7 linked regions of the Callithrix jacchus genome follow. The protein of the gene in region 3 binds, or shares a complex with, the protein of the main gene of each other region. Links are inferred from orthologs where the notes say so. Each region holds a gene or a part of one and is shown on either strand. Other genes may lie near its edges.

Evidence for each region.
Region 1: MED23 (region 3) and MED25 share a complex: the UniProt entries of both Homo sapiens proteins name them as parts of the mediator complex. The link is inferred for Callithrix jacchus from reciprocal best matches to the Homo sapiens genes MED23 and MED25.
Region 2: MED23 (region 3) and MED20 share a complex: the UniProt entries of both Homo sapiens proteins name them as parts of the mediator complex. The link is inferred for Callithrix jacchus from reciprocal best matches to the Homo sapiens genes MED23 and MED20.
Region 4: MED23 (region 3) and MED13 share a complex: the UniProt entries of both Homo sapiens proteins name them as parts of the mediator complex. The link is inferred for Callithrix jacchus from reciprocal best matches to the Homo sapiens genes MED23 and MED13.
Region 5: MED23 (region 3) and MED18 share a complex: the UniProt entries of both Homo sapiens proteins name them as parts of the mediator complex. The link is inferred for Callithrix jacchus from reciprocal best matches to the Homo sapiens genes MED23 and MED18.
Region 6: MED23 (region 3) and MED26 share a complex: the UniProt entries of both Homo sapiens proteins name them as parts of the mediator complex. The link is inferred for Callithrix jacchus from reciprocal best matches to the Homo sapiens genes MED23 and MED26.
Region 7: MED23 (region 3) and MED21 share a complex: the UniProt entries of both Homo sapiens proteins name them as parts of the mediator complex. The link is inferred for Callithrix jacchus from reciprocal best matches to the Homo sapiens genes MED23 and MED21.

What each region holds. Positions count from the first base shown.
Region 1 is NC_133523.1:43,593,207-43,597,464, reverse strand, and holds the start of MED25 (mediator of RNA polymerase II transcription subunit 25), read right to left. Parts: upstream 2,801-4,258; 5' UTR 2,748-2,800; coding exon 2,614-2,747; exon of another isoform or gene 2,519-2,613; coding exon 2,473-2,518; intron 1,741-2,472; coding exon 1,616-1,740; intron 1-1,615. UniProt on the Homo sapiens protein: Component of the Mediator complex, a coactivator involved in the regulated transcription of nearly all RNA polymerase II-dependent genes.
Region 2 is NC_133505.1:50,414,872-50,418,371, forward strand, and holds part of MED20 (mediator of RNA polymerase II transcription subunit 20), read right to left. Parts: intron 1,010-3,500; coding exon 756-1,009; intron 1-755. UniProt on the Homo sapiens protein: Component of the Mediator complex, a coactivator involved in the regulated transcription of nearly all RNA polymerase II-dependent genes.
Region 3 is NC_133505.1:138,246,474-138,249,973, forward strand, and holds part of MED23 (mediator of RNA polymerase II transcription subunit 23), read right to left. Parts: intron 3,219-3,500; coding exon 3,073-3,218; intron 2,183-3,072; coding exon 1,937-2,182; intron 961-1,936; coding exon 818-960; intron 1-817. UniProt on the Homo sapiens protein: Required for transcriptional activation subsequent to the assembly of the pre-initiation complex. Component of the Mediator complex, a coactivator involved in the regulated transcription of nearly all RNA polymerase II-dependent genes.
Region 4 is NC_133506.1:94,750,689-94,754,766, reverse strand, and holds the start of MED13 (mediator of RNA polymerase II transcription subunit 13), read right to left. Parts: upstream 2,801-4,078; 5' UTR 2,068-2,800; coding exon 2,002-2,067; intron 152-2,001; coding exon 1-151. UniProt on the Homo sapiens protein: Component of the Mediator complex, a coactivator involved in the regulated transcription of nearly all RNA polymerase II-dependent genes.
Region 5 is NC_133508.1:65,007,660-65,010,635, reverse strand, and holds the end of MED18 (mediator of RNA polymerase II transcription subunit 18), read right to left. Parts: intron 1,374-2,976; coding exon 820-1,373; 3' UTR 501-819; downstream 1-500. UniProt on the Homo sapiens protein: Component of the Mediator complex, a coactivator involved in the regulated transcription of nearly all RNA polymerase II-dependent genes.
Region 6 is NC_133523.1:15,191,303-15,193,625, forward strand, and holds the end of MED26 (mediator of RNA polymerase II transcription subunit 26), read right to left. Parts: coding exon 1,600-2,323; 3' UTR 501-1,599; downstream 1-500. UniProt on the Homo sapiens protein: Component of the Mediator complex, a coactivator involved in the regulated transcription of nearly all RNA polymerase II-dependent genes.
Region 7 is NC_133510.1:44,221,742-44,225,887, forward strand, and holds the start of MED21 (mediator of RNA polymerase II transcription subunit 21), read right to left. Parts: upstream 2,801-4,146; 5' UTR 2,778-2,800; coding exon 2,736-2,777; intron 1-2,735. UniProt on the Homo sapiens protein: Component of the Mediator complex, a coactivator involved in the regulated transcription of nearly all RNA polymerase II-dependent genes.

The sequences.
Region 1 (4,258 bases), on a different chromosome or scaffold from region 3:
GAGGTCACGAGTTCAAGACCAGCCTGGCCAACAAGGTAAAACCCCGTCCCTACTAAAAATACAAAAAATTAGGCAGGCGTGGTGGCAGGTGCCTGTAATCCCAGCTACTCGGGAGGCTGAGGCAGGAGAATCACTTGAACCCAGGAATCAGAGGTTGTGGTGAGCCAAGACTGTGCCACGGCACTCCAGGCTGGGCAACAGAGCAAGACTCCATCTCAAAAAAAAAAAATTAGCCAGGTGTACTGGCACGTGTCTATAGTCCCTGCTACTCCAGCTACTCAGGAAGTTGAGGCGTGAGTATCACTTGAGCTTGAGCCCAGGAGGTCGAGGCTGCAGTGAGTCGTGACTGAGCCACTGGACTCCAGCCTGGGTGACAGAGTGAGACCCTTCCTCAAAAACAGAAGAGCCCTGGGGGCTTCCTCTTTGCGCTCTCTATTGGCTCACTCAATCTGAGGAATGGCTGTAGCCATGTTACAACAGTCAAGCTCCGTGCAGAGGTCTCGCGGTCAACAGCCACCGTCAGCCACCCTGGGAGGGGCCTCCCCACCACCAGTCAAACCCTTGGATGGCTGCAACCCTGCCGACCTCTTGACACCCTCAAGAGGTGCCTTGTGACACCCTCAGCCGAACCATTCAGCTAAGTCACTCTTGTGTCCCTGACTCAGAAACTGCGTTAGATAATGGACGCTTGCAGTATGAAGCTGTTAGGTTTGGCGGTGACCTGTATGCAGCTAAGAGTAAGTACTAAAACACAAGTACTACCCGCATCCTGCTTCAGAGGCGAGAGGCTAGGCACAGTGGGGACAGGGCTCCTGGGTCTGAGAGTTAGTTCGGTGCTGGAAGAGCCAGGATTTGACCCCAGGCTGCCTGACTCCAGAGTCTGCAACATCAACTATCAAAATCTGATCCGATGCCAGGCATGGTGGCTCCCGCCTGTAATCCCAGCACTTTGGGAGGCTGAGGCAGGCAGATCACGTGAGGTCAGAAGCTTCAGACCAGCCTGGCCAACAGGACGAAACCCTGTCTCTACCAAAAGTAAAATTAAAAAAAAAAGTAGGTGTGCATAGTGATGGGTGCCTGTAATCCCAGCTATTTGGGAGGCTGAGGCAGGAGAATTTCTTGAACCTGGGAGGTACAGGTTGCAGTGAGCTGAGACTGGGCCACCACACTCCAGCCTAGGTGACAGAGCAAGACTCTGTCTCAAAAAAAAAAAAAAAAAACAATCCGACCCAAGCCACAGAGGGATGTATCCTGGCTCTGACCCATCCCTCTGCACTGAGGCTACAATGTACCCATCTGGAAGAGGAGAACAAGGGCAGATGGAAAAAGAGAGGACAGAAAGGGGACAATCACACATTCAGTACAAGGTGGCTGCTGGAGCTCAGTCAGGCCTCCCTGAACGGGAAGTTTTTCATGCTTCTAAACCGGATGGCAACATTGCTGAGCACACAGAACCCACCACAGAAGTGACTCTTGACAAAAACACAATGACCCTCACAGCCCTTTCAATCGCCTAATGTAAAGGGATGGTTCTTGAAGCTTAAACCCAAACCACCTCTCATTCACAGTCCCTCACAGGGTCCCCCAACCCAGCCCAAGTGGAGAAAAAGCTCACTTAATGCCATCCAGCCAGGTGACAAACTCATAGGCGCTGCTGGTGGGAGCGTGACACTGTACGTAGGACTCAGGAGCGCAGTCCACCGTGTTGAACACCACGAGGCTGTACTGGGTCCCCCCATACTGGGAGGTGGGGACAGAGGAACTTTTAATCTGGGACCTCAATTCCCTTTTCCCTCAGAGAAGGAATCAGGGCTCCCAGCTTCCTGTTCTTCCAGAATCAGGAACTCCTCAGCTTCCTCCTTCCTCAGACCCAGAAGTCCAGGCCCAGCCCCTCCTCCCTCACATACAGGGGTCAAGTCCCAGCCCCTCCGCCTTCAGACCCAAGAATCCAAACCCCCAGTCCCTCCTCCCTCAGATCCAGAAATACAGGTCCCCAGCCACTCCTCTCTCAAATTCCGGAGTCCAGGCCCAGCTCCTCCCCACTCAGACCCAGGAGTCCAGACCCCCCGACCTCCTCCTCCCTCAGACCCCGAAGTCCAGACCCCAACCTCCTCCTCCCTTAGACCAGGAGTCCAGGCCCCCAGCCCCTCCTCACTCGGACTCGGGAGTCTGGACCGCAGCACCTCCACCCTCAGACCCAGGGGTACCGGCCCAAGTGCTTCTACCCTCAGACCCAAAAGTCCAGGCCCCTAGCCCCTCCTCCCTCAGACCCAGGAGTCCAGACCCTGACCTCCTCCTCCCTCAGACCCGGGAGTCCAGGCCCCCAGTACCTCCTCCCTCACACCCGGGAGTCCAGACCCCGACCTCCTCCCTCAGACCCGGGAATCCAGGCCCCCAGCCCCTCCTCCCTCACACCCGGGAATCCAGGCCCCCAGCCCCTCCTCCCTCAGACCCAGGAGTCCCAAGACTCACGTCACCCCCGAAGTCCGTCTCAGCAGGAGGACCACCATTAAAATACCTGTGAGGGTCGGAGGTGAAAGGTCGGAGTCAGGCCAGAAGCTGTGGGAAACTCTAGTGGGAGGGCGGGGTTCGAGTCGCGGAAACGGCACTCACTCGATGGCCGGGAGCAGGTAGTGCTTGCGGAGCCCTTCGAAGTAGGGTCCCAGGTTGGCCGTACCCTCAATCACAAACACCACGTCGGCCACGAGGCCCCCGGCGCGGGCCGGGCCCTCGGACCCGGGGACCATACCCCGCGCGGAGGCCGCCACCGCCACTGCCGCCGCAGCCGACACCGCGGAATGAGGGGAAATGCGCCTGCGCTGCGCGCGCACCCGCGCCGGGCGGTTGAGGGCTGCTGGGAACGCACGGGCGGCCATATTTGTGCGGGGCACAGGTTGAGGCTTCGATCTAGCTCCATCCTCCTTCGCCCTAACCCGTGGAAGACTCAGCAAGGACATAGTTAGCCCTTTTGGGGGGCCTGATGGGTTAGACAAAATCATTGTCAGGATTGTCAAGAACGAAATAAGTTGAAGGCGGCACAGTCGGCTGCCATCTTTGAGCGGGGCGTCTGGGCCCGCCTATTAGCTCAATGGGAGGGGCAGGAGACCTGGTTGCTATGCAACACTAACGCTGCCCTTGTTTTCGTTTTCCTTTATCCTTTCCCCCCCCCCCCCCCCCCACGAGACGGACTCTCACTCTGTCGCCCACCCTGGAGGGGAACGGCGCGATCTCGGCTTACTACAAGCTCCGCCTCAGCCTCAGCCTCCCCAGGAGCTGGGATTACAGATGCCCACCACCATGCCCCGCTAATTTTTGTATTTTTCGTAGAGACGGAGTTTCACCATGTTGACCAGGCTGTCTCGAACTCCTGACCTCAAGTGATTCGCCAGCCTTGGATTCCTAAAGTGCTGGGATTACAGGCGTGAGCCACTGCGCCCGGCCCGCTGCCCTTGTTTTCTAACCATGAGATTAAGTTTCTGGTTCTGTTCTTTCGTGCGCGGGGACTGGGGGGAGGGACGCGAGAAGGGTCCAATCGCAATGGCGGAAACGAGGTTACTAGGCAACGCTTTAAGGTTGCCCTTAACTTGGAAGGGAGGATAGTAGTTTTCCTCCTGAAAAGAAGCTGAACACGAACCCAAGTGCAAGGGTTACTAAGCAACACCTGAGCGTTGTTTTCCGGGCGAGGAGCCAGAAACTAGCCTAGAACATAAATACATTCCAGGTGGATTAAGAACATAAGTGCAACAAATAAAACACGAAAATAGCTGAAGGAAAAAAATCCTAATGACTGCCATGAAGTTTCTCAGCAAAGTCAGAATACGTAAAATATTAATTTGTCCGCAAAAGATTGCATAAAGCAAGTTGAAACATATACCACGAACTGGAAAAATCTAGCGTGTTTGTTGACAGAAATGTACTACACAAATCTTACCGATGAATAACAGTATAGAAAAATAGAAACACTTCATTGTTTTTTTTTAAATTTTATTTTTTGAGACAGGGTCTCTGTTGTGCAGGCTGGAGTGCAGTGGCCATTGCAATCTTGGCTCATTGCAGCCTCTATTTCTCACACTGAAGCCACTGTCCTGCCTCTGCAGCAGCTAGGACCACAGCCACGCACCACCACTCCTGACTAATTTTTAATTTTTTTGTAGAGGTGGGGTCTCGCTATGTTGCCCTGGCCTGTTTCAAACTCTTGGGTTGAAGCGATACTCCCGCCTTGGCCTCCCAAAGAGCTGGGATTACAGGCGTGAGCCAT
Region 2 (3,500 bases), about 88 Mb from region 3:
AAGAAATTATAAACGATTCACAGAGAAGCAGCACAGATGCCTTGGAGTTAGAGATCAGGTAAATATCTGTCTAAATTGAGAAGGACTGACGGCCAGGTGTGGTGGCTCACAACTATAATCCCAGCACTTTAGGGGGCTGAGGTGGGAGGATCACTTGAGCCCAAGAGTTTGAGACCAGCATGGGCAACATAGTAAGTCCTCATTTCTACTAAAAAAAACTTTTTTTTTTTTGACACGGAGTCTCACTCTTGTCGCCCAGGCTGGAGTGCAGTGGCACGATCTCAGCTCACCGCAACCTCCACCTCCCAGGTTCAAGTGATTCTCCTGCCTCAGCCTCCCATGTAGCTGGGACTACAGGCACGTGCCACCACGCCCAGCCAATTTTTTTTTGTATTTTTAGTAGAGAGCGGGTTCTTCCATGTTGGTCAGGTTGGTCTCCAACTCTTGACCTCAGTTGATCCACCAGCCTCAGCTTAAGTGCTGGGATTACAGGCGTGAGCCACCACACCCAGCCTGAAAAAAAATTTTTTTAATTAGGTGGGTGTAGTCCCAGCTGCTTAGGAGGCTGAGGTGGGAGGATCACTTGACCCCTGGAAATCAAGGCTGGAGTGTGCCAAGACTGCACCACTGCATTCCAGCCTGGGTGAAAGAGCAAGACTCTGTCTCAAACAAAATAAAGGACTGGAAAATCTTCAGAGCCCTTTACCAAACAGCCCCCTTAGCATATCCTGCTCCTATTTTCACCAAGGTCTTACCTCCACAGAGATGCCCCGGGCACTGGGCCCCATTGTGACCGTGCCCACCTTCACCAGGAAGTCACAGTACTGGTACCGGGTGCCCCGGGTCTCAATCTTGCTGGCCTTAGCACTCTGGAAAAAGCCCTTCAGCTTCACCATAAGCACATCAAAGTTGGTGTCAGCAATAAGACAAGGGCCATTCTCAAAGAGGGCAAAACAGCTCAATGGGTACTCTGAGTTGTGCATCACATACATCAGCTTCCCGGTCTGACCTGCAAGGGACAGAGATCCTGCTCATCATCAAGACTTTCACTGGCAAACCCCAGAGTAAAGCAAATGAATCCCCCCGGAATGAGGCCAGATAGCAATCTGGCACTACCTAGGCAGTCGTGGTGGGGCATGAGCGGAATCCTCTCACTGCAGCCTTTTCTAGAAAGGTAAGGACAGAAATAGCAGGAGAGGCAGCATGTGGTAAAATCCACCGTGCTCTACCGAAAACAGTGAGGGGCACACAGGGACCTTTAATAGTTTTGATGATGGTTTAATTCTTTTTTTTTTTTTTTTTTTTTTTTTTTGTTGAGACGGAGTTTTGCTCTTGTTACCCAGGCTGGAGTGCAATGGCGCGATCTTGGCTCACCGCAACCTCCACCTTTTGTGTTCAGGCAATTCTCCTGCCTCAGCCTCCCGAGTAGCTGGGATTACAGGTACGCGCCACCATGCCCAGCTAATTTTTGTATTTTTAGTAGAGACAGAGTTTCACCATGTTGACCAGGATGGTCTCGATCTCTTGACCTCGTGATCCACCCACCTTGGCCTCCCAAAGTGCTGGGATTACAGGCTTGAGCCACCGCACCTGGCGGTGGTTTAATTCTTGAGTGGTGGGCTCACAGATGGTCTATATGTAAAGTCTAATTCCAAGTCTACAAAGACTTTCCATATACTCTTTTGTATATTATCATACATTCAATAAGTAAAATGAAAGTAACAGCATTTGGGCAAGACAAAGGAAGCAACTGCTCCCTTCTTCTGTGCACTCCTCCTCACCTTGGGTTCCTCCCTCTTTGAGAGCTAGTAAATGGTCCTATGGAAGCAGTAAGGGGAAGGTAGACGGGAGCCAAGCTGTGATAGGTCTTGTCTACCATGATTTGAACTGGGATATGAAGAGAAGGTAGGATTCAGCCACAGGAAGGAAAGAAGACATTCTAGGCAGGGGGCAAGACAGTGGGAATGAAAAGGGTGTGGGGGTGGGGGAACAGAGGGCATGTGACTTCCCTATATAAGCTGCTGTTCATGAACACAGCAGGCTCTACACAGATCCTCCAGGCCACATCCCATCTCCTGACTGCTTGCTGACAGTTCCCACCTGTCACCTCCTTCTAAATCCAGTTCAAAACTTCTTGACTCTGAAGAAAAAAATCCATCCAAAGCTGATCTCATCATTCTGTTCTCATGTCTACTCACTGTAATTACATATTTTATTCATACCATATGAGTCTGCAAGTGTTACTGTCTTAGAAATATCTTAAAAGTCAACTAAGGGGAAGGGTTGTGTGTGTTTAATGAAAAAGGCACTTCTAGTATTAAAGACAATAACATTTTTCTTTTCTTCTTTTTTTTTCTTTGAGACAGTCTCACTCTGTCGTCAGGCTGGAGTGCAGTGGTGCAATATTGGCTCATTGTAACCTCCGTCCTCTAATCTTCTTCGGCACCTCTCAATAACCAAAGCCAACTAGTAGAGGGCCTGGAAAATACAGCTTGCAGGGGAAGTGAAAGAAATGGATCTAAGGGAAACAGGCACATGAGAGGCGTGGAAACAGTCACAGATAGGTTATAGGAGTTACCTACAGGTACACAATTAGTATGTCGCAAAGCCGTGACTCAGGACTCTGGCTCCCCAATCATAACCACTATGCTATGGAACTGTTCAAGATCAAGTTACTGCAGAGCCAAGACTAAGAGAAACAACTTCCCTAACTCATATCCAAAGAGTCTCTCTCATGGCCTGAGCCCAGGAGTTAGAGCTTGCAGTAAGCTGGGATCATGCCACTGTATAGCCAGGCAACGAAGTGAGTCTTTCACTCTAAAAAGAAAAAAAAAAAATCCTCTCTCCCTCCCAACCACCATCCCCCATCATCCACAGACCATCCCACCACCCAATACACTAAAGAGAACAATTAATTTATGCTATGTTAGTAAGGAGGCCAAGGCCAATGGTTAGGTATAGGTAAACAGAAACTTCTAGAAACTCTTAAAGCTCTAAAACAATAAATAAAGACTTCTGGGCCCGAGACCTGTCTTTCTCAAACTTCAGAGTGCATGAGGATTGTCTGGATGTTTGTTAAATGTGGATTATGTGGCCTAAGCAGCAGTCAATCAGTAAACAGGGCCAGGAATCTGCAACTCTTAACATGTATTCCAGGTGATTTTGATGTGGTTAGTCAGTGATTAACCCTCTGAGAAACATTGCTTTTAGAGTTCAAATTGCACAAAACAGCACTCAAAGAGCACAAGGGCCAGGCATGGTGGCTCATGCCTCTCATCTCAGCACTTTGGGAGGCCGACGTGGGCACATCCCTTGAGCTCAGGAGTTTGAGACCAGCTACTTAAGAAACTGAGACAGTAGGATGGCTTATGGCTAGGATTTTGAGACTGTCATCTCAGCACGTTGGAAGGCCGATGCTGGGAGATCCCATGAGCTAAGGAGTTTGAGACCAGCTACTTGAGAAGCTAAGGCAGGAAGATGCCTTATGGCTAGGAGTTTGA
Region 3 (3,500 bases):
GTAAGGAAAAATTCAGATCCTAATTATAATATCGAGTTTGCTTTTTTTTTTTTCCTGGAATTTGGCAACTGATATATCTGGAAAAATAAAATGAGACAAGATATGAAAAAAAACTCTCAATTCTGTTATCTTTTAAATTATTTTGAGACAGTTAATGTTCCATACCTTTTGAAGTATGAGGTTCACTTTTTAATACAAAAATTGTATTACACCTGCCCTTGTTTCCTCCTACCCCCAACAAAGTTTTCATCAACATTCAGTTATTTAAGAAGACTTACTGTAGTTAAAATCAAAACTATGCTGCATTGGTGAAAAGCTGTAATTACCATGAATCAGAAAAAATGTCTATATTAGAAAGTATGTATTATTTTGAACTATATAATAACTAAAAGACATTATAATGTATCTTCTGCAATGCAGGAAAATTCCTTCTTTATTGCCAGTCAGCCTCAGTATGCACTGGAGGACAGCATTACTGCTTCGGGCAGAATCCATTTGAATATGGACAGGGACCATGTCTACTCTGCTCACTGCATCCCAGGCAAGTAGCACGTTAACCTTTTCTTACCACTTTACTTAAAAATGCCACAAACCCCCTGACCCTCACACTTCCTATTCCTCTTTTTTTGCTTTACTTTTCTCTATGATATATAACATTTGACATATTGCATATTTCATTTATTTACTTTAATGTCCCCCTCCATAAGCTCCATCATGGTGGTGACTTGTTCTCTGCTGTGCCCCCAGGACCTAGAAAAGTACCTTTTGAGTTAATGAATGTGTTAATAGTTATAAACACCACAAAGTCCTGTCTTACTGATAAATCCTTTGATGCCCAAAGACTCTATTTCCATATAGACCAATAAACGACTGTAAGTTTCCACTAGGGCTGGAGCCAAGGCCACACTGGATTTTGCATGAGCAAGTTTTATCACCCTGGTTGCAATGCTGTGAATAAGGCTGAGAAGAAAAAAGGGGAGAAAATAAAAATCCATATTTTTGACATAAACACAGGGGCTACTCTACTTAGAAGGAACTTAGTATACGTTTGAACTTAAATGATTCAAATGAAGTTGATTCATTTAATGTGTTTAAGTTGTGCAGGACCCTTGGTAAGGATGTACCACATCCTTAGTCTTAGAAACCTGAGACTCACTCTGGTTTCTACAGTGCTTTCAATGTGCATATGTATCCCCCTGATCATGGATAAACAAACTTTGGGTTCAACTCCTAAGAGCAAAACAAAAACAAAAACAAAAACAAACAAACAAACAAAACTCCTAAGAGCATGCTTAAAGGATTTTGGTCACTCAAATGATGCATCAAAATACATTTGGGAAATGAAATAACTTTGTCACAGATTTTACTTTAATAAATCACTGCAAAGACCCAAATGTTAGGTACTAATGGGGCTTTGCTCAAATCTGTTATATATGCAAGTGAAGCACGTGTAATTCTATCACAATAGTTACCATTTGAAAATGAGTATAGCTCTACTAGAACTGATGCTCCACTTGGAGGTTCAAAGATAAATTCTCTTTGGCCTATACAGTGTTTGTTTTAAAAGTTGAGCCAATACTAAAAAGCTGAAAGACTAGTAGTAAAATAATCTGGATTTCTAGCCTTTCTCAAAAATGTTGGAAGCTCTAGTGACACTGGTCCTCGTATTTAACCATCCACAGAAAAAGAAAAGAATATGTGCAAAAAATTTTTATAATGCTTATCTCTCATGGAGAGATTATAACAATTGCTTTCTTTGGGTTTGTTAATCCTAGAGTTCCTATAATACGAAATATTCACTTTTGTAATAAAATAAAGCTATTATTTTCTTAAATGTACCTGAACATAAAATAATATACACAATCATGAAATAAAGGTTTATGCTATACTCTTAGCAATTACCTGACGAGGAACCAAATTAATAAAAAGAACATACCTCATTTTGGCATGAACTGTCAGTGAATCCAGGAGGTTCATAGGTAAGGGGGTAATAGATCCTGAAGCCATACAGTTTGTTCCAGGGAGAGGTATCCTCATAATTCCATTTCCATAAATAGTTTCCACCAGAGCTCCCATGGGTAATGTAAAACATTCTGAATTTGTAGAGTATGCATTGCATAATAGGGCAATCTTATAGTCATTCATCTGTAAACTTTTATTTCTCAGACTCTGCTGCAGGAACCTAAAAATTCACGTTCCATTAAAAAGAAAAAATGAAAATTATTTCCATAATGTTAATTTGTACTTTTTAAAAGTTCAATTTTATGCAATTATTTATTAATGCTATCTTTGTTCCTATAGGTATTATAGTTTCTGTGTGAAAGGTAGAGTGGGAACATACACAGACATTTGGGTAGCATTTCAGAAGAAAAATAATTTTGAATAAACAATTAATAATTATCTGTTAAGTATATACTACAAACATATACAGCCACCGTATTAGGCTAAGTTTCAGAGAATGAAGAAATAACTCACAAGTTCATGAACCAGGATTCTATTTATTATCTCTCTCTATAAACACAACAATATGTCTTCATTACAGATATCACTATGAAAAGGTGGTTAAGGGGTATCTCATAAAATGAAAACCAAATGAAATTATCAAGTCTGACTACCCTGCCATCTTCTATGAAGAGATATTAACTTTGGAAGAGATATTAAGGGTCATGCCAGCCAGATCAGCTCAATCAATCCTGGCAGCCCAGTGATGAGTGATATCTCAGTCAGCTCATGCTCAAGTTCCAAGCACTTGAGAAATTCTGAAACATTTTTACATTTATAAAAATTGATATGCTTTCATTATATCAATAACTTTAAATACACAACTGAAGATCAGCCATGAAAATTTAAAAAAAAAAAAAAACCATACAAGCAAGACTAATCTTGTAGCTGTTTCCTGATACAGGTACTGGCCAGATTCTCTTGCTATGACATATACATCAAGTATTCGCCCTTACCTCTAGTGGGTATGGGGAGATTTCCAAATTTCACACAGACACTGACACCAATATTAGTCTGCAATCCACTATTAATTAAATGAGAAAATTAAATATCAAGCAACTAATAACGTACTCATGGTGAAGTCTTAAGGAATGAGGTATTGGAATCTGTAGCTTGGAGTTGTCATTTTGAGCTTTCCTATTGAGATGAATCCAAATGCAAGTCATTGCAAAGGCATGGGTTGACTGGGGTTTATTAATATCAGGAACTGGGATATACTGAAAAATAACGATTTGAAAAATAATACAAGAAAGAGAAGAATTAAATGATTATATGTATTTTAGTAATCAATTTCTGATATATCTCTTTTTAACATATCATATCTTACTTTAGCCCCAATAATTCAATAATACAAATCAGAAGGTCTAACAGCCATAAAATTTTGAAACTATTACAAGATGCTTTATTTGGTATGTTTTTATTTGCTAAGAAAGTAACACAAATTCACAGGTGCTTTGTCAAGCTTTTCCTACAATCACAGAGCATTCTCAAACAAAAAT
Region 4 (4,078 bases), on a different chromosome or scaffold from region 3:
GATCTCGCCGCCAAACACCAAGTACATCTGCCTTAAGGCAGCGACTAAAACTGCTCAAAATGGGGTCTTCTTCTGTCACAGGAAACAGAATAGGGGCAGAAGTTGGGCCTTGCCATACATATCTTTTCCATTTAATTCCCGTCAAGTCAGCCTGAAGGAAAGAAAGCATGATGTTTTATTATTGCACATTCACTCAAAGTCAAAAGTACTCAATATGACGTCTCTATTTCATTAAGGCGTTACAATTTTTCAATGTATGCTAGAGATATTGAATGCAAATGAGGACAAAAAAAGACTTTATAATTCAACAACCAAGAATTTTAGGGAAAAGAACACTATTAAAAATTAACAACCACCACCATGTCACTGATTAATAAGCAAATATGTACCCCAGTAGAAACAAAAGAAACTGAATGAAGTTAAATATAGACATACACTTCAATATGTACACAGAACATACATTTTTCTCTGTCCTAACTGGTCACATTTGTTCATTGGTATGAAACTTTTAACTGAGAATCAATGATTAAAGACCCTATCATGGGTTTTTATTCCACATTTACAGGATTAATGTCTCTAACAAAGAGACATCCGAACAAGTCCTGAAAAAAAATCCATGTTAATTCTTCACACACACCCAATCGGAAAAGTCAAATAGCCGCTCACAAAGAACTGTGAGATTTGTGCTAGTCTATCTTCAAAGAACCTGATCCTAAAAGTACCAAAAATAGACTGCGTTGGATAACATAGAAATATAAAACCCGGTGTATGTCTTACTATATGTGAAGAGATGCTGATTAATGGACATTGAAAAGAAAAACATATTGTAGAAGAGTATTAAAGATCTCAATTTAGCATCCGGAAAGAAATTCGACAAGAGTAATTCAATAATTATTTAATCTAACTTAAAGGAGCAAAGCATAAGGTGCCAAAAATGAAACTGCTGATACATGACTGGCAGTTTACACTTGCCAACTAGTTGTGCTCCGCCCACTTGACTCACTTACCTATCACATACTCTTTAATACTTCTCATAGCACAAGGGAGAAAATGAAAAAATAAAGTCACCCAAACTTAAAGTCATTGATGAAGCTCTCAGCTACTGTCCCATACAGGACAAGTTATTTGCAACAGTTGGTACTTTTGAAAGTCGTAACTGTTGGATGTTACCAGACCCGAGCTAACTTACACAATGGTCATCCCTACATGCAGCTTCCCCCGACTTTCCATTTCAATCAAACAAGGAGCAGCCTGCTCAAAACATTCTAAAAAAGCAAGCAAAACACAATAAATATAGAAACAGTGCAAAATCACAGCACCTCATCCATCAGCCTCCTCCACTCTCACAAAAACATTATGTTCTAATAAAGGCAAGATGGCTAGAAATTGTCAAAAACGGCAAACTGTTTTGAAAGTTTAAAAAGAAACATATGAAATGGCACCTACTGGTTTTTACAGAGATCTGAAGTCACCCAAAAAAGAAACTAATCTTGCCTTAGCTTGACTTATACCAAAAAAAAAAAAAAAAAAAGTAAAACGAAGACAGGTTTCTAGGGCATAAGTTCTGGGGTCCTGTTTACATGGGGAAACCAAATTACCAGGGTGAGACATAAAGGCAGTGGGGAGCAGGGGCAATAATGGAAAGCGTGAAGCAAGGATACAGTACCGGGCCAATAAAGAAAAAAGCAACAGTTAAGCAAGACAGAGAGAAAGGTTAGTGTTCTGCCAGATCAGGAGCCCAAGTTGAGGACGAGACTACGGTGAGGAAGAGAGTCCGAAACAAGACAAGAAAAAATGCCAACAGTCCCCAAACAGAGCCCGGCACCGTGGGAGAGCGAACACCGTCTCCTAGGGTTGCCCATGGAGCTTCGCAGGGCGCCGGCTCCGGCTGGGCCTCGCCCGGGGACTCGGGCATCTGGACCAGACCCGGCCCCCTCCCCCACGGCCCAAAGGCGCACCTCGCGGCCCCCTCCCTCGGCGCCCGCCGGCCCCGGCACTCACCAGGCAGAAGAGGTTACAGTGACAATCTTCCAGGCTGGCCCCGTTCGGCACGAAGGAGGCACTCATCGTCCCTCACAGCAGCCGCCGCCGGCGCCACAACCCACCATCCGCCATTACCGCCGCCTCCGACCAGAGAGAGAAACACAGACACCGGGGAGGGCGAAGGGGGGGTAGTGGTTGGGGGGGCGATGGAAGAGGAGGCCGCCGGGCCGCCCGCCCTCCCCACCCACCCCCCGCCGCCGCCGCCGCCGCAGCCGGGAGCAGCCCCCGCCGCCCGGCCGGCACCCAGCCGCCCGGGGCCGAGGGCCGGAGGCGGGAGGGCCGCGCCGCGCTCGCCTGGCGGGCCGGACTGCGGAGCCCGCGGACGCTTGTCCCTCTTTGGGGGACGGATGGGATGTGTGCCCCTACCGCAAGAAAATAATAAATTACACAATAAATAATCAAAATAGAGTCCGAGACGGCAGAGCCCAAGCCCTAGAGGGTTCTCCCGGGCGGGGAGGCGCCCGCACAGAGGCGGAAAGGGCGAGAACCGGGAGAGCCCAGGCCCCCGGCCCGGCAGCGGCGATGTCCTTAAGCCCAGAGTCTCCTCAGCGGCGGAGGTGGTGGCGGCGTCTGCGGGCTCACACCATTCTCTGGCTGTCTTCGTGTCGTCCCTGAGCCGAGCCGGTCTAATGTCTGCCCTCCTGCGGCCTCACCGCCTGGACGCCGTAGTCTCCCCCATTTTGTGGGCCCAGCGGGCGGTGATTTTCCCCCTTTAATCCGAATTCACGGGTTTTCCCTTCGCTTTAATGGCGGCCACAGGGACCAGCTCGCCCTCTCTGCTCGCCCATTGGCCGCCTTGAGGTCACGTGGGCCCGGACTCCGTGGGGAGGGGGAGAGAGAAGTGAGCGAGGGAGCGCCGGGAAGCTTTCGGCCGAGGCGGTGAGCCCGGGGGACGGGGCAGCCAGCCGGTGGCTACTAACACAGCGCCATCTGCTGGGTGCCTCGGCCAGTGTAAAATGACCCGGGGCCCTGGCCGTGTATTTGCGAGGAAATTTACAGTCCAGGAAGGTTCATTTCACAAATCAATGAGAATTACGTAGAAATCATTTTGAGTTCTTTGGAAGAGAAAGTGTTGGCAAAAATTCCAAGACATTCTCATTTATTTCGCGAGGCTGCTGGGGTGCAGCGCAAACCTCTGGACTTGGGAGTCAGACGATCTGGATGGGGACAAGACTCAGCCACCTTAAAGTTGTGATATGAAGATAGAAACTTAAGAGACAAAATATTGCCCTGTAGTTAATAGGCTGGGAATTAGAGCCACACTGCCTGGGTTCCACGCTTGAGCAAGTCACTTCCTACTCTGTGTCTGTGTCCTCATCTGTAAATGAAGAAAACATACCCCTTACCCCACAGGTTTATTGTAATAAGTTAATACAAATTAAGCAGGTTGCCCAGTGCCCTGCACAGATAAGCATTGTTAAGGGTTACTATTACTGTTGTCATCATTACCTCATATAGTTATTGTGAGGAGCAGAACTAGTGTATGTAAAGGTCTCACTACTTTTTTTTGTTTACTTGTGTCTATCTAGTGCCTAAAAAAAGGTCCTAGCACACAGTAGGTGCTTGATATTTGTATATTTACAAATGACTGGGTGATAAGAAGTAAGAACCAAGCAAAAGGTTCCTTCTCTTTCCCATAAAACACTCAGTGCTTGGCTGGGTTACATTTCAATATAAGAGTTCAAGACAGTTTCTCTGAGGGTTGTAGGATTACAAGAAACAAAGAAGAAGAAAAATATGACTCAGAAGTTAGAAACATCGGTGAGTTAGGTCTTGTATTAAGTATTACAGATACGTAATTGTATCTGTTAAATGAATGGTAAACTCTTCTATATCACTTCTTCAGTCATAAATTGAAAAGAAGTTCTCATTCATCCATTTGTTCCTCTGTGGTGGTGAAGAGCCCAGATCTGAAGCCCAAAGCCTGGAGAAAAAGTTCTGCCCCTCACTAGATAGCCTTAGATCAAATTAATTTCTCTTACTCTCAGTTATTGTAAAATGGGGGTAATAAAAGTACTTTTCTCCTAAAGTGCCT
Region 5 (2,976 bases), on a different chromosome or scaffold from region 3:
AGCAATCCTCTTGTCCTGCCTGCCAAAGTACTGGGATTATAAGCATGAGCCACCATACCTGGATGCTAAGTCTATTTTCTTTTATTATTATTTTTTGAAATATTACTACACTACACTGTAAGTCCATTTTAGAGGACAAAAAGGGAAGGGTACCTGCCTTACTGGTAGAACTGGCTCTACTATAAAGCCTTAATAATAAAAACATTGTGTTGCTGTCACTGAAACAAAGAAAAAAAATGAAATGAAATGGAGAACTTAAAAATAAAATACCTACATGGAAACCTATGTGACAATGGTAGCAGCACAAAGCACTGAACACTGTTCTTTGGATGGTGGTAGAAAAACGAATTCACTGCCAGGAGAAGAAACCTGGGTTTTTATAAACCCCCTAGAAAATGGACTCTAGATGAATTAAAGATCTCAATGTGAAAGTTAAAACTATAAAGCTAAGAAGGAAAATCTGTGTTACCTAGGGGTAAATAAAGACTTCCTAAACAAAATTCGAGGCCACTGCCTTTATTACCATATAGCACAAGCTCACAGCCTCTAATGTTATAAACCTTACACACAAATGGCCAAACAAGAAATTTTTATTTCCAAAACCTAATTTACTCCAGTTTCTCCTCTTTATACAGTGGGATTAGATAGATTCTCTGTGATGTCCTGAGCCTTTAATGTAGAAAGGCTGTCATGAAAACGAAATCATCACGAGGCATCCTCCTCCCTGAAGGAAGAATGCTGGCAGTGGTGAAATGGAGCATTTAAAACATTTTTTCAAACAAGTAAGGACAGGCCCCAAATGTGGAGAGATTCTCTTAGTCACATGAGCCTCTTGGGGTCTATTTTTTCTAGGTGAACCAGAGGTTTTAGCTGCTCTGCAAAGTTCCTCATGTCATCAGAAACCATGTCCTGTCCAGCGGGTGCAACTACGCTTAATTCCACGAGATAGGAAAGTGACAAGGCCTCAGTGCTGTCTGTGTTCCCTGGCACCAGGATGCGGAAAATCTTGTAAACCATAATCTTCATGATGCCCTTTCGGAACAAGTGTCCCTTAGCAACAAACTCATGGTCCATGCGGAAGCCCATTTCCATCAAGAAGTCGGTGAGGTTCTCAGACGTGGCAATGTCCACGCAGTTTCGCACCAGGGCGTGGCGATTCTTGTCTCCCATTTCTGGTTGTCCCAGGTAGCGCAGATGCCAGGGTGCCCCTGCCCTGTCCATAGAGCGTCGGGCCCTTAGAACAAATGGGCTGGCTTGCTGGCCCTTAAGGAGGAATACCATCTCATGGTCAAGGAAAGTCTCAGGTTCCATGTTGTCACACAAACCACGAAGGCGGTGGATGAGGCTTTCCAAACTGTGATCTAAAACACTTCCTGAAAAGGGAAAAAGCACCTCTGAGTCCTATCTTTCCTTTTAGGTCATGGAATTAGCATAAAATTGAAAAAAATTAAAATGAAAAACCAAAGCAGTTTAGTGAAGCATTTCACAACACATAGGGCCAACACATGAGATTTTAGAGGAGTTACACTAGCAAAATATTGTATAACGTTGTGAGACAGTTATTATTTTCCTTTTCAATTTTTTGGAATTTTCTTATTTAGTACTACAAAGTCTTTAGGCCTTCTCTAATGCTAATTTCCAACATGCCTTGGACTTAGAGCCTTTAATCAGCTACAGTGTCTATCTAGAATGTAATAATACTGGCTGGGCATGGTGGCTCATGCCTGAAATCCCAGCACTTTGGGAGGCTGAGGTGGGCAGATCCTGAGGTCAGGAGATTGAGACTACCCTGGCCAACATGGTGAAATCCCATCTCTACTAAAAACACAAAAATTAGCTGGGTGTGGTGGCGCGTGCCTGTAATCCCAGCTACTCGGGAGGCTGAGGCAGGAGAATCACTTGAATCTGGGAGGTGAAGGTTTTGATGAGCAGAGATCGCACCATTGCACTCCAGCCTGGATAACAGAGTGAGACTCCATCTCAAAAAAAAAAAAATTAATAATACTGTTTTAGCTATGTATTTATTTATTTGCTTTTATAGAAATGGGGTCTCACTACATTGTTGTCCAGCTTGGTCTTGAACTCCTGGCCTTGGTCTCCCAAAGTGTTGGGATTACAGGCGTAAGCCAACATGCCCAGCCAATAACACTATTTTGTTGTCATATACTTTAACAATTGCCTTCAATTTCCAACAAATAAAAGTCTTTCATTTATAGAAGAAATATAAAGTTTCCTTTTTTTTTTTTTCCTGAGATGGTGTCTCGCTCTGTCACAGGCTAGAGTGCAGTGGCATGATCTCAGCTCACTGCAACTCTGCCTCCTGGGTTCAAACGATTCTCCTGCCTCAGCCTCCTGAGTGACTGGAATTACAGGCATGCACCACCATGCCCAGCTAATTTTTGTATTTTTTAGTAGAGATGGGGCTTCACCATGTTGGCCAGGATGGTCTCGATCTCTTAACCTCGTGAACTGCCCACCTCGGCCTCCCAAAATGCTGGGATTACAGGCGTGAGCCACCGCGCCCAGCTAAAGTTTCCTTTTTATCAGGAAAAGCTTTCCTCTTCTGTATCTAAGTAGGAGAGAATTAATTGCTTCATAGAATCTTCATCCCCTTGGCAACATCTGAAATGGTTGTTATAGTAGATTATACCCACTGTGAAATCTATTCTTCCCTTGGCCTCTGAGACACAACTCTCTTGGTTCTTCACTTAACTCGCTGACCATTCCTTTTAAGTCTTCTTTGCTTGGTGTTTCTCATCTTCCCTAAACACTGGAGGACTAGGACTCAATATTAGTCCTCTCTTGTATCAATACTCTTTTCCTCCCTATGTGACATTTGTGTCATCTTTTTTCTTTTGAGACAGAGTCTCGCTCTGTCGCCCAGGTTGGAGTGCAGTGGCACAATCTTGGCTCACTGCAAGTAAAGTTAATTTTCTTCTTCTTCTTTTTTTTTTTCAAGTTGGGGTTTCAGCATAT
Region 6 (2,323 bases), on a different chromosome or scaffold from region 3:
ATGACCTATTCCAAAGTGAGAAACTAGAAAACCAGTCTTAGCTTACAGTTTTGGGGATGAGGGACAACTAAAATATTACCACTCCATAGCCAAGAGAGAAACATTTTTTTGGTGTCAGCACCAACCAGCTAGTAAGGCAGCTGAGGGCCAGGGCCAAGGGCTGGGCTGCCGGACACACACACAGCTCTGAGCCTCTGGGCCATCCCTTGTAAGAACTTTGTTGAGGTGGGAGTAGTCAGAGACCTGTGCTATGGAGCCTGCTCTCTACGCCAGTCAGGTCTGGGTGAGACAAGATAAACGTTCCTTAATGTGCCCCTGAATGAATAAAAGGTTCCTCCCAAATGCAGCAGCAGGCTAACAGGTGGATTTCAAGGCTATGCCCTACCCTGTCTCCCTATATCCCAGCTGTTGGAGGGTCTAGGTCTTCCTGGCTAATCCACAATCCAGGAAAGGGCTGATTTGGCAGTGAAGGGCCAAATAAGAAAAGATTCTCATACTGGTTTGTGCAAATGGGTTTTTTTATTTCCACATTTATATCACAAGGTGTCCACTTACTGGACCAAATAGCAAAGTTGCTCCCTTCTGCGTCCTGAGAACACAGAAGTCTATGTACTGTACATTCACTAAGGCTCCTTGTTTTTGCAAATCGCGTTTATGACAAATAACCATAAGGCAAACGAATCTAAAGGAATGGTTATGAGTGTTTCCAGCGTACAGACAGGTCTGCCCTCTCGCCCCACAGTACAGCATAAAACCAGTAGCACCCACAGTAACTTTTGTGTTGTTTAGGGGGGACTCTAGAAAGGTGAAGTTTTCTAGATGTGTACAGGAAGGGAAAAAAGGAAAGGGGGGAAGAAAGGAAAAGTTTGTTTGGTGGTCTGATGGAAGAGGAGTTAAACCCAAAAAAACTTAAATTTCTGCAGCATTTCTGTAAATACTGGGTTATAACTGAAACCAGATATAAACAGGTGGCTGCCCATGGAGTTGGGGTCATATTGGTTAGCCAGCTGGCCTCTCTGCCCAATGCCAGTGGCTCGCCACAGCTGAGGAGCTTCTGGCACACGATGGACAACACTGGCCTGACAGTGGCTGGGTAGGGGCAAACAGAGGCTGTGGCATGGCCCACTGTCTCTCAGACACTCGGGGCCAAATTAAAGAACAGGAAATGCAAGAGAGATGAGATGCGTGCTTCTGTTGCTGTGTTAAAGGTAACCTCTCCCACAGGTTTTCTGTGCCTGCCTGCAACTGAGGTCCCAGCATTCAGGTGCTGGAAAGTGTCCGCACCTCTTCAGGGGTGAGGGACTAACGCTTTTTATAGCTGGTTTGCTATAGAGTTCTGAACTCACTTTGCCGTCCTTCCTTCCGCACGGTCCTTCCTTCGCAATTTTGTTAGTAAACTGGTAGCAGCATTTCACAAAAGGAGAGTTTTGAGGGAAGGGTGCACAGAGAGACCACATGACTCCCGCCCCCTCCCTCCTGCCCAGGCCGGGCTCCCCGAGTTCCCAGCCGCAGGAGGCAGCTGGGCCCTGGCCACCCGCCCACCTGCCTGCCCGCCTGGCTTCTGCAAGATGGGAATGCACTTTGTGGCTGACGGGCCGGTCAGTCTAAGCAGACATAAGGCAGAATGTTCAAGCGCCCATCGTCACCGTGAGGATCGAGCGATATGCACTGCGTCCAGTCATACCAGTTACCCTGTGTGTCCTGACACCCGTTCACCCCCGGCCACTGGCTGGCCTGGATTCTGTTTAGATCGTCCTGTGTGACCTCCCGGGTCAGCCCAGGGAGGTCCGTGGGCGGGCTTTGAGGCACCAGCACGTGCAGCTGCCTGGCCCCTCGCCGGGTGCTCTCCTCCTGCTTCAGGTACTCAGACATGAAGTGGTGAGCCCCCGGGGTCTGTGCGCCCGAAGATGAGAGCAGGCTGCTCTGCCGGCTCAGGTAGGACTGGATGATCTCATTGCGTGACAGCTCCTTCCAGTTCGTCTGTTCGAAGGGGCTCTGGAGGCTGGCCTTGGCCTCCTGCTTGTCCAGCTCTGTCCTGGACGGCTGCTCCATGTGCACAGGGCTGTCTGCCCGCACTGGCTCTTTCTGGGTCAGAGGTTTGATCTGTCTTGTCATGGGGTCAAAGGTGAGCTTCCGCTCTTTTAACCGGACAGGCTTGACGCCCGCCTCGGCCACCTGCCCGTCCAAGTTAACCGTGTAGTCTCGAGGCCGGTACCTCTTCTTCTTTTTACTGTCCGAACCCCCAGAGGAGGCAGCATCACTGTCCGCCTTGGAGGAGTCTGGGGAGAAGCCTGCCCGGGACAGGAGGGGCTCGGCCGGGGAT
Region 7 (4,146 bases), on a different chromosome or scaffold from region 3:
GTCCAGGTTTTGCTAATTGTAATGGAGCAATAAGCGCTCAGCTGCTATACAAGTCTAGATCCTAATCCTAGTTCTATTAACTCAAGTAGCATTTATCATTTTTAAATTGGATACATTCTCATATTACAACATTGTTGTGAGGAACAGACAAGACACAAAAATATTCAACACAGTGGTTATCTGTTCCATTCTTCAAAAGCTCTTAAGATCCATTTAGTCAACAAAAATTTATGGAAAATAACTATGACAAGTATTGTATATAAACACATAGTAAATGAGACATAGCTTCTGCACTCAGTTTTCAGAGGGTAGAACAACTGTTAAAAGTTATACAAATAATTAATTATGATTAGAATAAATGCTTAAGAAGATTCTCCCTATTTTGGTTCACATCACTCCATATTCCAATTTACTTCAGAACCTGCAGTTGAAAACACTCAATTCATTGTAACTCCCTAATCACAAACTGTTTTTCCATCACTTAAATGTCTCCTGAATATACATTTTTTAACCTCCTGAAGGAGTATCTCTTTGAAAACATGATCGCGCTTATATACAGTAGGCACTCATACTAGTTATCCTAAATGCTTCTCTCCAAAATCCAATTATCAGTATGCTTAACCTAAAGTTAAGGCCATATTCACTCTGTTCTTACTATCCTTCTAGTTACAAGACATACATGAATATAAGAAATTTTCCCTAAAATAAGATTTCTATCCAGCAGCATCATTACAATTTGATTTTGTAAAACCTCGAAGGAGTAGTTCCCTGAAGGAGGCTGGCTGGCAGCCCAGGCAAGTCCCTGCAGGGTAGAATTTATCTTGATGAAGTCAACATTTAGAGACTGGTCCTCTCAGCCTTAAAAACTACTGTTAATCACCCAGAGTATATCAGTTTATCACAAGTAGATTCACACTCTTCAAGTGTGCAAAGCCTGATGTATTAACAAAAATACCAAGTTATTAGCTTACAGTGAGTGGGGGAAAAAAAAACTGGCACCAGCAGTGTAAAAGTGTTCCTATTTCTCCACATCCTCTCCAGCATCTGTTGTCTCCAGAGTTTTTTAATGATTACCATTCTAATTGGCATGAGATGGTATCTCAATGTAGTTTTGATTTGCATTTCTCTAATGACCAGTGAGGATGAGCTCACTCATAGGTGGGTGTTGAACAATGAGAACACATGGACACAGAGAGGGGAGCACTACACACTGGGGTCTGTTGGGGGGAAATAGGGGAGGGACAGCGGGGGGGTAGACAGTTGAGGAGAGAGAGAATGGGGAGAAATGCCAGATATAGGTGAAGGGGAGGAAGGCAGCAAATCAAACTGCCACGTGTGTACCTATGCAACTATCTTGCATGTTCTTCACATGTACCCCAAAACCTAAAATGCAATAATGAAAAAAAAAAAAAAAAACTGGCAAGGAGACCAGGTACTTAGGTTTTCCTCGCAGCATGTTTTCTCTGCAGCCCCTTATTTAAGACATTAAATCACAATTAGACAATGAGAAACATAACTATCGAGGAAAAACTATTTAACGGAAAACTATGTAATTTGTAATGGTAATAAGTATACCCACAGCCTCATAACGACGTCTTGATCAAAGGATACTATGTCAGTCCCCTGTGGTTAGAACAAAGCTGAAAATTCTTACCGCCTAGTGACATCGTAGCAGTCCTAACGCTGTAGCGCAATGCATTACTTAGTGCTCGCAGTGATGCTGGTGTAAACCAACCTACCACACTGCCAATGTATGAAAGTACAGCACATACAATTATGTAGAGTCCATAATACCAGATAATGATACTAACTGTTACTGGTTAATGTATTTACGGTTTACATAACCCATTCTTTAAGGGCCCATACTCATGATTGTATACGCATCCTTTGGCTTTGCATCTACTTTCCACTCAGGCAATACTGTGGAGGAAAAATAACCAGAAGGAACAAAATTGGGGAACTACTCACAAGACTTTGCCTTTAATAGAATAGAATTTGGGGGAGACATTAAAAAAGTGTTTACAGGCCAGGTGTGGTGGTTCACACCTGTAATTCCAGCACTTCGGGAGGCCAAGCGAGACAATGTCTCAAAGAAAAAAGAAAAAAGGACTCAAACGGAAAGGTATGCGAGAATTAGAAGATTTCCTATCATACAGATGTCCCCAAACTGATGTATTCTAAAGGGTGGCCAAGAGACAAGAGATGGAAGGAGACTCTGGGCCCATAGGAACGAGCTAAGACGAAAGATCTCTCACCTCACCTCAGCTTCGCTCCCGCACCAACCTGAAAGCGCCGACATTTCATTACAAAAACCCAGTCATCCAGAGCATGAGACCTCCCTTGGTGGATTAAAATTGATGAGGAAAGAAAAAAGCTTCGGCTTCTCCCCCAACTCCCAAAAGAAAGAGATTCCGTAAGCACCACTAATAATAAAACTGTCCTCAGGGAACACGACAGGACCGCGCAGCCCACAAATCTTGGCGGTCTGACCCGGACAAGAGCGACCTTCCCTGTCTCGGTCTCCTCAGGCGAAAGAGGCTGCCTCGCACGGCAGCCGGCTTCAAACGTCCAAGTTCGCGGTGGGGCCTCCCTCCATAAAGGGGGACACGCTCTTTATGCCGAAGCCGTGTCTCAGTTCGCTTCCTACTTCCAAGTTTTGCCTTTTGGGCCCCTTTCCTCCCTTGCTTTACCTCAGGAAAGAAAAGGACAGAGGTTAATCGAATGAAATTCCTCACCGAATTCACCGCGTCTTGCAGCTGAGTGAGCCGATCCGCCATGTTTCTCTTGCACACAAACAGACGCCGTAACAGCTGCTCTTCCGCGACTGGGCCGCTCTGGCACGCGTCTTGGCCAATCACAGGGCTGCGTTCTTGGAAGGGGTGGGGTCGGAGAGAACTGCCCGCCCTGTCAGGAGGGGCTGGGACTCCCCGAGCGGCCTTTCTAGAGCGGGCTACAGCTGGATGAGGCTGAATCTTTTTGAGTAACTGGGGAAGAATGGTCGCGGTCCAGTTGCTTTGAGGGGTTTCTTTAGATTTTTAGGTGTTAAAGCCTTCAGAGATTGTTGGATTCTGCGGAGATTTTTTTTTAGTGATTTCTCTTACCCTCATGTATTTATTTACTGACCAAATTGAACACTAGATATTTTTATATTATTTTTTCTTTATATATATATGTATATTTTATTGCGTTTTAGGTTTTGGGGTACATGTGAAGAACATGCAAGATTGTTGCATACGTACATACACGGCAATGTGGTTTGCTGCCTTCCTCCCCATCACCTATATCTTATATTTCTCCCCATGTTATCCCTCCCCAACTCCCCACCCCCCGCTGTCCCTCCCCTAGTTTATATTAATTTTTTTATATCGTCTTGAAAGCTTCCGTTGCTTTTGCTTTCTAGGTTTCAATAATATAGTCAACATTATTGAATATAAACTTTATATTATTAAAAGTTTCAAACATATTCAAAAGTAGAGAGTGTAGTGAACCCTCGCATACCTTTCACCAGCTTCAACAGTTTAGCAACTCACAGACAATCTTGTAGATACTTTGGGTTTTACATTTGTAGTAACTCTCTATTTATTTTTCAGAAAAAACCTTTAACAAGGTTTCCAGTGGACCACAAAGCATATACACAGCAAGCAAACTCGAGTACTTGGGAGTCACAATATGGACTTTAAACAAATATGAGGTTACTCCTCTAACCAACCTTCATATGTACCCCTGAACCTAAAAATTAAAAAAATAATAAATTAAAATTCATGAGGCAATCATGAAGAACAGGATTAGGGTGCCTTCTCTGTCACCTTTGAGCTGAAGAGGTTGGGGCTACCCATATGGAGACTGGGTGCCCACTTTCATTCTGAGTGGGGTGGGCTGGGACAGGTGACACTCAATAAACAGAAAGTGTCCAAAAAGGTCAGGTACTAACCTGGGCAGTAGTGACCATGTGTGAAGAAGAAAGGAAGAAGAGCATTTAGAGTTACGAGGGAAAGTTTAAGTGTAGGTAATTAATAAGCTTCTTTGGTTTCCGTGACAGTGAGGAAATCCCTGTGAGGAACAGAGGAGGGTTAGTGGAGAGGAGAGTGGAGGTTTCACAGTATATTGTTGCAAAAGAGATTCCTGGAAAATAAGCTAGATGCATTG